Diceros bicornis minor: one gene and its partners. The protein of the gene in region 1 interacts with the protein of each later gene in a pairwise test. Links are inferred from orthologs where the notes say so. Each region holds a gene or a part of one and is shown in the gene's direction. Other genes may lie near its edges. The genes, in order: GLRX3, MAPKBP1 and CA9.

Region 1 (3,746 bases):
AAGTCGGGGAGAGGACACCACCTGGAGAGTCAACGTGAGGGGGATGCCAAGGGGAGCCAGGGACGGCCCCGAGGTTAGAGGGGCCCGAGAGAGAGGGGTGCGGGGGTCCTGGAAGCAGGGGCGAGATCCTGGAAAGGAGCGTGGGGGTCCGGGAGCTGGGCCTGTGGTTCTGGGAGGCGGCGCACCCGCCCGGGCCCTGCTGCTCCTAGGTCACCGTGGGTGATGGGTCCGCGCACGGGCTGAGCCCAGGGGTGGCACCGCCGGGGGCGCCTGCGGCCGGACACGCGGTGGCGGGGGTGCGTGGTCCTTCAGGACCGAGTTCGAAGCGCCCTGTCAGTGTTGACATTCGGAGACGGCGCAACCTCCCTTTCCCTGACCTCTCATTCCATCCCCGGCTTTGCATAATTCCATTTTAGATTAAAATTTCAGCTTGTTACATGGGCACACCTGACTTCACTTACACACGTCACCCACGCGCACACCCCTCTCCCGGCTGCTGGAGGAGCCGCGAGGAAGGCCCGGGGCCCCGGGAGGCAGGAGGCCCGACCGCCCGGATCTCCGAGGGCGGGACTCCCGACAGTCAGGATCCTCGGGGGTCAGGCGCTGCTGCGCCCCCAGGCGCGGCCGGAAGCCCCGCGCTCCGGCACTTCAGTCTCCGCGCGCGCAGGCCCCGGCGGGGCGGGGCGGGGCGTCCGCACGCAGCGTCCCGAGGCCCCGCCTCCGCCGCCCGCGCTCGATTGGTCGTGTCTGGCGGCGGCAGCATGGCGGCGGGGGCGGCTGAGGCGGCGGCGGCGGTGGTGGAGGTCGGCTCGGCCCGGCAGTTTGAGGAGCTGCTGCGCCTCAGAGCCAAGTAAGCCGGGCGGCGGGCGGCGGGGGCGAGGGCACGGGGCGGCGGGCGGCCCGGCTCGGCTGGGCCTGGGCGGAGCGGCCGGGGCAGCCCCGGACCCCCAGCTCCCGGCCCGGAAGAGGAGGGGGCCCGTCCCGACCCCCGGCCCGCCGGGCGCTCCAGGCCCGCGCCCCGATCCTGCCTGTCGCCTGGCGGCCTGGGCGCGGCGGCCGCGGTGACTCAGCCCGGCCGGAGGCGCGGAGACCCCGCCGCCGGTCCGCACCCGGCGGTTGGGGCAGGCCCGGCGGGGGCGGTCCTGCCGCCCTGGAGGGGGCGGGTGAGGCCTGTGGACACTCGGGCCGCGCTCGCGTCCCAAGCGCGCCCGCGGCTGCGGCCGGGGGTTTCCTGTCTCCCCAACCGGCTTCGCGGGCTGTCCCGGTGGCACCCGGCCTCTCGCTCTCGGACGACTTCAGAGGCCGGCAGGGGTGCGTAGAGCCCCTGTTGGGGGACAGATGGACATCCCGAGCCGTACAAACGCTCACAGTCAGCTCGCGGGCGCACGGGGGCTTCCTAGGGGTGGTACCACTTCCCCTTGTAGCGCCCTCCGGGGACCGGGTGGTTCTCGGCGGTCCTGCTGGTGGGTAAGATGCGAGCTCCGGCGTCGGGTTCCTGGGAGCCGGTCCCCAACTCAGCCGCCTGCTAGCCGTGGAACCGCTGGGCGGGTTTCGTTACCAGACCTGAGTTTCCTCCGCGGGAGATGGGTTGGAATCGTGCCCGCTTCGGGGCTGTGAGGATTAAATGAGAGGATGCACGTAACATAATGGCATGCCATGTCATAGCCTTGCATGCGGGAGCCCTGTGTTCAGTGGGGAGCAGAGGGCTTGCGTGGAGTTCACAGGCAATAAGTACTTGTTGACCTGAATGCAGTGGGATTGTGGATTAGAGGCGGGTAGTGCTCTGATTGGAAGAATGAGATGGAGAGTGCAGATGAGATGGGGAGGTGCTTTTGTTGAGAATGGGGTTAAGTTAACAGCTCTTGCAGCATTTCAGGTTTACTTGGAAAATTGTTTAAAAAAAAAAAAAAGCTAGGGGAGGTGGCCGGGAAATGACGTTTACTCATTGATGAAAGGCGGGTTCTGATTCATGCAACACGCCACAGATCGTAAAGCAGCACGGTTACGGAGTACTCCAGAGGTGGCCTCCTGAAATGAGCAGGGCTTGTGTGGACCTGCCCTTAATAAGTGTTTGAACTTAGTATCACTTGGAAGACTCTTTTGCTTTTTGTGTGTTTTCACATTTTTGTTTTTATGTTTCATTTTTTTAACATAAAAGTCTTTAAAAATAATACAACTGGTAAAAGCTTAAATGTGAATACCATTTGGGTGTTTTCTTGCCACTGGTCTGTACTTGAAAGGACCCAGAAAACAACATACCTTTTCCATAATGGTTAGTTTAAATGGGCACGTGGGAAATGACGCGTGGCATCTGGGGAAGGAATAAATCTCTGCTGCTTTTTGTGAAAATGGAAAAGTTTAACATTATTAAATAGTACTCTTCAATGTAATCAAAGTGTACTTTCCAAATCATCACTTCTCAATTAAAAAATTTTGTATGAGTTGAAATTTTTTTTTTGCTTCAGTCATCTAATCAGTTTGTTACTGAAACCTCAGTTGGTCTATACAATGGGGATTAATACCCATTTGCAGAGTAATTAAGGTTTTGCCCATTTATAAAATATTAAACAGAGTCTAGTATATGATAGTGTTTAATAAATGGTAGCTGGTGTTACCTGCGGATGAATAACCGTAGGAGCAGAAGACCCTTAATAGAGAGACAACCATTTATTGAGCACTGATTGTTTTATTGATGAAGAACTGAAGCTCATTACATTGTTTAAAATCACATTAGTCAGGATTTGACCCTGGTCTTTCTCTAAAAGTTTTCCTTAAACAATGCACCCTGCATGTTGGGCTATCCACAAAGGTGGAGAGAATCCTGTCACATATAATCCAGGAGGGGATGACAGCATTTATGTTTGCTTCACGTTTATGTTCTTATGATATTACGTATCCTGTACTTAATTGAAAAGTGGAAGTTAAGCATCTAAATTTGAGAATAGTGTGGATAATTTAAAATAACAATTAACATTGTTAATTAATATCATTCTTTAATGTTTTCAAAGTGCTTTTATATTCTTGTTTGATCTTCCCAACATCCCAGGGTGTTAGTTATTGTTATTTTACAAATGTGGAAGTTAAGAGAAGTTAAATTACTCTTCAAAGCCACATTAGTAGTAATGGAATTTAAGTTGTGTGTGTCCTTTTCTGTTTTACGTATGTTGGCTCTTACTGTTAAACAGTTTGGTAACCTATTTTAATTTTTTAAAAACTGTAATCATATTGTGAGCATTTTCTCATGCCATTAAAAATTACTTGAAATATGATTTTTAATGGTGTTATAATATTTTATTGCTTGACCATTAAAAAACTATATTGTTGAACAATAGATTTTTACAGTTATTTTCTATGTAAAATAATGGGAAAGTATTCATATACATAAATCTTTGTCTTTTTAATTACTTCCTTAGGGTAGGTACTTAAGGTGTGTAAGAAATTTGTGAAAGGTTCCTATTTATTTATTTATTTATTTTTGGTGAGGAAGATTAGCCCTGAGCTAACATCTGTTGCCAGTCAGTCCTCTTTTTGCTGAGGAAAGTTGGCCCTGAGCTAACATCCGTTCGCATCTTCCTCTACTTTATAGGTGGGACGCCACCACAGCATGGCTTGGTAAGCAGTGCCTAGGTCTGCGCCTGGGATCCGAACTCTTGAACCCCGGGCTGCCGAAGTGGAGCATGCAAACTCAACCACTCTGCCACCAGGCCGGCGCCTCCAATTTAATTTTTACCAGCAGAATATGAAAG
Region 2 (3,746 bases), on another chromosome or scaffold:
TTGCCTCTGCAACTTGAGCTTCAGATGAGAGTAATTTGGGGAACATTTTCCCTAAGGGATAAACCAGGGTAGCTTTGGACAGGAAATGACTAATGATACTTTGTAAACACCTTTGCCTGGCCATGAGTGGTTAGGTAAGTGAGAAAACCACTAGTGCACACAAAAATGATCTGGAGAGAATTGAGGACAACTCTTATGGGTAGAGATGGCAGTTGCTGGGGAATGCAGCATACAAGTAAGGACACCAGGTGGCACCATCTATTAGCAGTTACAGATTGGCTCCTACCCCCACAGAGAGGTAAAGTTACAGGCTAGCAAGGAGTTGAAGGAACCAACCCCCTATTTCATACTGTGTGGCTAATGACTCTTGCCTCCTTCGTCTAGATTTGGGAAATAAATGTGAAAATCTCATTTTGTATTTCCTTACATCTGCAGTGCATGGTTGAAGGGAAGGAAGCTTCTGGTAGGTATTGCCAGTTGGTTTTCTAGGAGGTGGCTTCCTTGATCTTTGTGTCAACGTGAGCTTTTTATAGATTTCGTTTTTAAAACGTGGCTACAATACACACAGGTACATACTTATTTTGCCACTTGGCTGTACAAGACCCACCCACAGCGATGGGTTTAGAGGTCCTTCCCTCTTGCTAACATATCTCCCCCAGGGGTTCCAAGGATCTGGATAGGCTGAGACAGGTACACCAGTGTATTTTTTCTCTGGGACCCCAAGTCTTTTAGCTTAGGCTAACCTTTTCATAAGGCAATTTCTTGAAGTAGCAATGAGACAGTAAGGCTTCCAGAAAATAAACTTGCAGGCTGAGACATCTATGAAATAGGAATATGTAAAAGTATTTCTGTGCCGCCCGCCCCGCCCCCCCCCACCCCGTTTAGAAAAACTATGCTGCTAAAACTAGTGCCAGCAAGCTTGACAGTGACCTCGCTAAAGTAACAGTACTAGGGAAAAGGTTTCACGAGAAAATTTTGACATAAACAAGGAAAACATCTGGACCAACAAGGTCCTGGTTAATTCTAGGTAAAAGAGCTCGGCGGGACTAGCTAAAGGTTAAAGAAACCATGAAACAAATATATCCCATAGGCACATTCACTTATCTTCCCCTTCCCGCACATGCCTAAAGCTCTATTCAAGGCTATCATCTCCCTCCTCTTTCTTCCATCATGGCCAATCAGGTTGCCCAGTTCAAAACACTTTAGCGATGGAAAGAGTTAGGAGAGTAATTTCCACGTAGGTCAACGCGGGCGGGCAGGCGGAGAGTAGAAACTAATCGCTTTAAATTCCCCGGTTTGGGGTCGATGGGAGCAGAGCCTTATGGCTGTACCTCAATCTTACAATTCTGACTTAGGGGTTAGTTTCAGTTCTGGTCTCTCGGGCCTATCAAATGCCAGCTGTAGCACCCTGCGGGCGTGGTTACCATCTTGTTGGGGCTCTGGGAAGTGCCGATCTCTAGGGGACCAGTCCTGATAATACCATAAAAGGCTTGGTTCTCTCAATTCTGAAGCCGTGTTCTGTTGACCTTCCTCTAGGAGCGATACCGCGGCGTCTCCGTTTGCAGAATCCGTGGTTCTCGAGTCCCATGTCCTCTGCTTCCTAGCCGCTTTCATTGGCTCCGCCCCCATGAACCTTACTCGTCCACTCTCGGAACGCCCTCCTGGATACAGACCGCACCCCCTCGCTGCGGCTCCGCCTACCCCGCCCGTAGCTTGGCCCAGGCGGTAGTTCGCGTTTTGAGCCGCTCCTGCCACCATAGCTGCTCTTACAGCTGCCGCCGCGGAGCTAAGAGCGCCGAGCGCGATGCCTGAGGGCGCTGTGAGCCGGGCGGTCCGGCCCTGGGGCTGGTGAGGCCGGGCCCGAGCGGGGGCGCTGGCGAGTAGCAGGGGTTTCTGAGGGAGGTGAAAGAGAAAGGTCCAGGGCTCCTGTGGAGCACCAAGAGCGAGCTCCGGAGGGTCGGGGGTGGGGGAGGGAGGCTCCCGTGGCAGAACGAGTTGCCGGGCCACAGCGAGCCACGCCGCGCCGAGTGTCCCCGCAGCCGCTAACACAGGTGCCCAGGCCCCTTGCGGGACTTCTCGGTGGCCTCTTGCCTTGGACACTGCAGTTGCCATGGGAACAGTTGGGAATTAACGGGGACCAGACCAGCCACTAGTCCTACTAGGGCCCGTCCTATCCCTCCAGTTAAACGCCTCTGGCAGGCGTGGGCCTGGCATTTCGTCATAGCTCAGGCTTTTTACCCCCCTTTTTCATGGGTCTATCCTTCAGACGTTGTAAGAAACCGCGCAGGGCTTGAAGGCGGGGATGAGGAAAAGGGAGAGAGCAATACCTAGAAATAAGACCTGCAGACACGGCTAGGCAGAAGGTAAGGTGGCCTCTGCCATCTCAAGTCAGTGAGAGGGCATACTGGAAGGCCCTGTGGAGTGGGAAGGCAGTGCCACTGTTGAGACAAGTCCCAAGATTGGGCAAGGAACTGTCCCAGGGGCTCCTCATCATGATGGCTGTGGAAGGGTCAACCATTACCAGCCGGATCAAGAACCTGCTGCGATCCCCATCCATCAAATTACGCAGGAGTAAGGCAGGAAACCGGAGAGAGGACCTCAGCTCCAAGGTGAGTCCTAGTGTTGGGAGCCACCCCTTTGTAACCCTCCCCTCCTCTGCTCCATGTTCCTCTTTCACCTTCCTCTTTATCTTTGGAAAGAGGAGAACTAGAAGCTCCTGTTGGCTCTAAAGGATCAAGTGTGCCCGTCTCTGCTGCTCAAGAAAGCATTGATTTAGTTTTAGATTAAAGGAAGAAGAGCACAGGGTTGGGCATGCTGAGAATCATCCATGAAAAGAGAGAAATAGGAGGAAGGCAACTTGGGTTTAATTGTGGCCTCACTACAACCTAAGTCTGTGCTTGGGGAAGCCAGTTGATATGCTATGACTCAGTTTCCCTTCTTGGAAGAAGGTGGTGAGACCACATACCCTGTGATGGGCTAAGCTGTGACTAATGTAACTACAAGTGTTAGTGTCACAGCTGGGGTTATGTAAGACAGTAGTAGCAGAAAGAAATATGCTAAAACACCTAGACTGAGGAATTGGCTTGGTAAATGCCCTTGCCTGGGTCAAAACAAATTTATTTGTCTCTTCAAGAGACTTAGATTAATTTAACTGAAGCTTCTTGGCTTCTTAGGAATGGTAACATGCAAGGAGCCAGATATCTGCCCGCAGAACAGTTCTGGTTTGCCCTTGAGCATTACTTATCTCATTCACTAGATGCACAGAGCTCTGCTGCAGAAGTACCTCAGATGCCAGGTCACTTTCCATCCCCTCACTTGTCTGGGTGTTGGTCTTTATGCTTTCTTCAACTTTGTTGAGCCCCACAACTTTGACAATACAAAAGTAGACTAAATTTATTTAATCTCTGAGGGGGTCTAGGGTTTTGTTCCCACAGGATCAGATTAGACTTTTGTGTCTTATTAGTAGGCTGTAAACACAGTAGCTTTATGTGGTACAGGATTGCTACAGGGAGAGACATTTGAGACCGAAGCGTTTTATTGCCTTGCCTGTATCACGTAAAGCCAATGAGGAATGATTTAGAGTGCTAATGTACAACATGGCAGGGTTCTGGGAGGGATTTGTTCAGATCCCTACCCCTTAGCAGAACCTTACTTGGATTTGGTCAGAAGGTGAACAGCTTTCCTGTATATTTCAGCAGATATTGTATTGAATTGAAATTGGCCACAAGGTTCCATGGCAGTGGAGA
Region 3 (3,746 bases), on another chromosome or scaffold:
CAAATATCTGATGCCTCCCCTTTGCCCAGAATACCATTCTCCCCATTGTTTTCACCACTTGAACTGCTACTTCTTCAAGGCCCTGATCAAATCTGCCTATTTCTGTATTACCTTCTGAGGCAGAATTATTCACTTTCCTCTAAATATTATGATAATATTTGCCATCACTCACTAGACAGTGAGCTCCTCAGGACAGGGACCGTGTCTTATTCATTTCTTTACCTCGAGTCCATAGCCCTGTGCCTGACACATGGTAGATGCTAAATGAATACTTGTTAATTGTAGGAGTGAATGGCATTCCAGGCAGTGAGAACTAGAGGAACAAATGTGGTCAAAGTTTTGGGGAAAAAATGAATAGTTTAATTTGGCTGGACAATGAGGGAGAGTAGCAGGAGATAAGATGGAAAGGTCTCTCAGGTAAGATTTTGAAAGGACTTGGAAGTCAGCTAGAGGGGGCAGATGGACAGATGGACGATACTTTGGTAGGTAGTGGGAAGCCAATGGAGGTTCTTGAGCAGAGGTGTAATATGATGAAAAATAAATTTAGTTTAAACCCATCAGAGTCCCTCTCATACATATACTCAGTTTTCCATTCACACTCAAATTCACCTCCCATCTACTCATCCATTCCACCACCACCACCCCCTCCCCGACCCCGGGCTCCTCCAGATTGTCCTACCCCTTTACTGCTCCCTGGCTGGGCCAAGGATGTAGACATGGGTTGCTTCCCCTCTCAGCCAGAGGCTGTGGGGGCCCCAGCTCCCTGTCTTTCCCTTTCCCTGCCTGGGGCCGGGAAGTAGGCCAGGGTTAGCTGGAGCTGGCTGGCGAGCAGCCTGGCGGCACCAGGGAGAGCCTGTATAGTGCCAGGTGGTGCCTTGGGTTCCAGGCTGAGCCCATGACCCCGATAACCTTCTGCCTGTGCACATACCTGCCCCCCACTCCACCCCCATCCAGGCTTTGGTATCGGAGAGGGGGCACAGGGCCAGACAGACCTGTGAGACTTTGGCTCCGTCTCTACAAAAGGGCATTCTGTGAGTCAGCCTGCTCCCCTCCAGGCTTGCTCCTCCCTAACCCAGCTCCTGTCTCTGATGCACGTACAGCCCGTACACACCATGTCCCGACACCCCGCAGTCAGCCGCATGGCTCCCCTGTGCCCCAGCCCCTGGCTCCCTCTGTTGATCCCGGCCCCTGGCCAGGACCCCGCTGTGCAACTGCTGTTGTTACTGCTGCTCCTGGTGCCTGCCCATCCCCAGAGCCTGCCCCAGATGCAGGAAACTCCCCCCATGGGAGGAGATTCATCTGGGGAAGAGGATCCACTGGGCGAGAATGACCTCCCCAGTGAGGAGGACCCACCTGGAGAGGAGGACCCACCTGGAATGAAGACTGAAACAGAAGAAGAGGACTCTCTGAAGTTAGAGGACCTACCTACTGTTGAGGCTCCCAGGGACACTAGAGGCCCCCAGAATAATGCCCACAGGGACAATAAAGGTAAGTGGTTGTCAGTCCTCCAAACCTAGGCTCTGGCAGGTTCGTGCCTTCCCTCACCAACCTCAGCCCACGCAGTGGTTCTTCAGGGAAGGAGAGGAGCCTGCACTCTGACAACAGCCTTTCCCAACCCCAGGGGCTCCCATGCCACTAGACCCTTCTCCCCTTTCAGAGCTAGAAGGGGACGGATGGGGAGACAAAAGTGGGACACAGATGGAGAGAGGTGAGCAGGGAGAGATGGGAAAGAAGAAAGCGGGAGGTTGGAGAGGAGCAAGTGATGAGGAATGTGGAGAGGGAGAACATAGGTGGTAAGAGGGAAGAGTATGAGAGAAGAGACGAGGGAAGATGAGGGGACCAGAGGAAGAGGAGGAAGGACTTGTAGAGATCACCCCATCTTCAGTCTGCAGATGAAGAAACTGAGACCTAGGAAGAAGGAAACAGCAGGTAGGGGAACATGGTATCATGAATCCCAAGCCAGGAACTTTTGGAAAGGAGTTGGAGAAAAGAAAGGGAAGAGGGATGAGTGGGGAGGAGAGGAGTAAGGGAGAAAGGAAAGATGGGGTACTGATTTGGGCGTGGGACTGAGGCCCCACCCACTTTGCAGACCGTAAGACAATGGCTGCAAACTGGTATCTCCAAGGCCAGTAGGGTCTTTGTGTGGCCCACCAGGCTGTGGTGGTATGTTTGGCTGCAATCTATTGTGCTTTACACGTGTCCCGCTTTAGGCATTTCTGTCACTTGTCTGCCCTGTAAGGCATCTGAGTTTGTGAACCCCTGCTAGTGAGAGGGGCCCACCGCGTTCTGGCCACGGGGAGAGACTGGGCTGAAGATCGGCCTTTTCATCTCATTTATGCAGGTGATGACCACAGACGCTGGCGCTACGGAGGTGAGACACCCACCCCCTGCACAGACCCAGTCTGGGCACCCAGCTCTTCTGATCTGCCCCTCAAACATCCCCGAACTCTGGTCCTGGGTGTCCCCCCACTGCACCCACGTCTGCCAGGCCCCGACACCGCCCGCTGCCTGTCTCCGTCCACATCCCGGATTTCTATTTCCCGCCCCGATGCCTCCTGACTCTGCCCCTTACTTTTTCTACCCCGCTTTCCTAAAAGTTCCCGATCTTGTCACCAGACTTCCTGCCCATACTTTCCCACCCCAGGCGACCCGCCCTGGCCCCAGGTGTCCCCAGCCTGCGCAGGCCGCTTCCAATCCCCGGTGGATATCTCCCCCGAGCTCACCGCATTTTGCCCAGCGCTGCGCCCGCTGCAACTCTTGGGCTTTGAGCTCCCGCCGATCCCAGAATTGCGCCTGCGCAACAATGGCCACACGGGTGAGGGGTTTCGGGGTGGAGCCTCGGGCGGGCGGGGGGCGGGGGGCGGAGGCTATCTGGGGGTGCGAAGGAGCGTGGCGAAGCGGGTGGTGCTCCGGAATTGGGCTGGCCCTCCGGGCGGGGCCGGCCCGGCTCACCTGCCTCTCCCGCCCGCAGTGCAGCTGACCCTGCCTCCAGGGCTGGACATGGCCCTGGGCCCCGGGCGGGAGTACCGGGCCTTGCAGCTACATCTGCACTGGGGGGCTGCGGGCCTCCCGGGCTCGGAGCACACGGTTGGCGGCCACCGTTTCCCGGCCGAGGTGAGCGCGCAGCTGTCTGCCAAGGGGGGAAGGGGGCGCGGGCCCTGGATCTTGCCCACTCCTGCACTCATGTCCTCTCCAGATCCACGTGGTTCACATCAGCACTGCATTTGCCAAAGTGGACGAGGCCCTGGGGCGCCCGGGGGGCCTGGCCGTGTTGGCCGCCTTTCTTCAGGTACCAGCCCTGGACACTCCCGCTCCCTGCTTCCCCAGGCCCCGGGCTCCGCGTATCCTGCTTCCAGAGACCCCATCCCAGCACACTCACCCTAGCACCTGGCTGTCATCCTCATTCACTCATTAGTTCGTGCGTTCAGTATCCACTGTGAGTTAGGCACTGGGCCAGAAACCGTGGGTCCTTGTCTCTCAGGAACCCACAGCCAGTCAGGGAGGCCGACAGGAGGGAGGCCGACAGGATACACATATATGAGAGTAGTCAGAGTAAAAGAGGCGGTCAGGAAGGCTTCACAGAGGAGGTGAAACTTGAAGCCTTCACTATGGGAAAACTCAGAATATAGCCCATTCAGGGAATGAGTGGCAGATGCACTAGACTGGGCATCAGGAAGAGTAATTTCTCTAATACTCCTATAACCCATAATTTCCCCTTTGTGAAATGCACTAAAGTCTAGAGAAAC

The links.
Region 2: the proteins of GLRX3 (region 1) and MAPKBP1 interact in binary tests that used the Homo sapiens proteins (3 or more experiments, as listed by UniProt). The two-hybrid records come from large-scale screens. The link is inferred for Diceros bicornis minor from reciprocal best matches to the Homo sapiens genes GLRX3 and MAPKBP1.
Region 3: the proteins of GLRX3 (region 1) and CA9 interact in binary tests that used the Homo sapiens proteins (3 or more experiments, as listed by UniProt). The two-hybrid records come from large-scale screens. The link is inferred for Diceros bicornis minor from reciprocal best matches to the Homo sapiens genes GLRX3 and CA9.

What each region holds. Positions count from the first base shown.
Region 1 is NC_080745.1:92,341,547-92,345,292, forward strand, and holds the start of GLRX3 (glutaredoxin-3), read left to right. Parts: upstream 1-740; 5' UTR 741-761; coding exon 762-850; intron 851-3,746. UniProt on the Homo sapiens protein: Together with BOLA2, acts as a cytosolic iron-sulfur (Fe-S) cluster assembly factor that facilitates [2Fe-2S] cluster insertion into a subset of cytosolic proteins.
Region 2 is NC_080744.1:39,433,817-39,437,562, forward strand, and holds the start of MAPKBP1 (mitogen-activated protein kinase-binding protein 1), read left to right. Parts: upstream 1-900; 5' UTR 901-1,848; intron 1,849-1,966; exon of another isoform or gene 1,967-2,266; 5' UTR 2,267-2,492; coding exon 2,493-2,609; intron 2,610-3,746. UniProt on the Homo sapiens protein: Negative regulator of NOD2 function. It down-regulates NOD2-induced processes such as activation of NF-kappa-B signaling, IL8 secretion and antibacterial response. Involved in JNK signaling pathway.
Region 3 is NC_080767.1:4,100,043-4,103,788, forward strand, and holds the start of CA9 (carbonic anhydrase 9), read left to right. Parts: upstream 1-1,012; 5' UTR 1,013-1,088; coding exon 1,089-1,488; intron 1,489-2,341; coding exon 2,342-2,371; intron 2,372-2,644; coding exon 2,645-2,815; intron 2,816-2,971; coding exon 2,972-3,114; intron 3,115-3,196; coding exon 3,197-3,289; intron 3,290-3,746. UniProt on the Homo sapiens protein: Catalyzes the interconversion between carbon dioxide and water and the dissociated ions of carbonic acid (i.e. bicarbonate and hydrogen ions).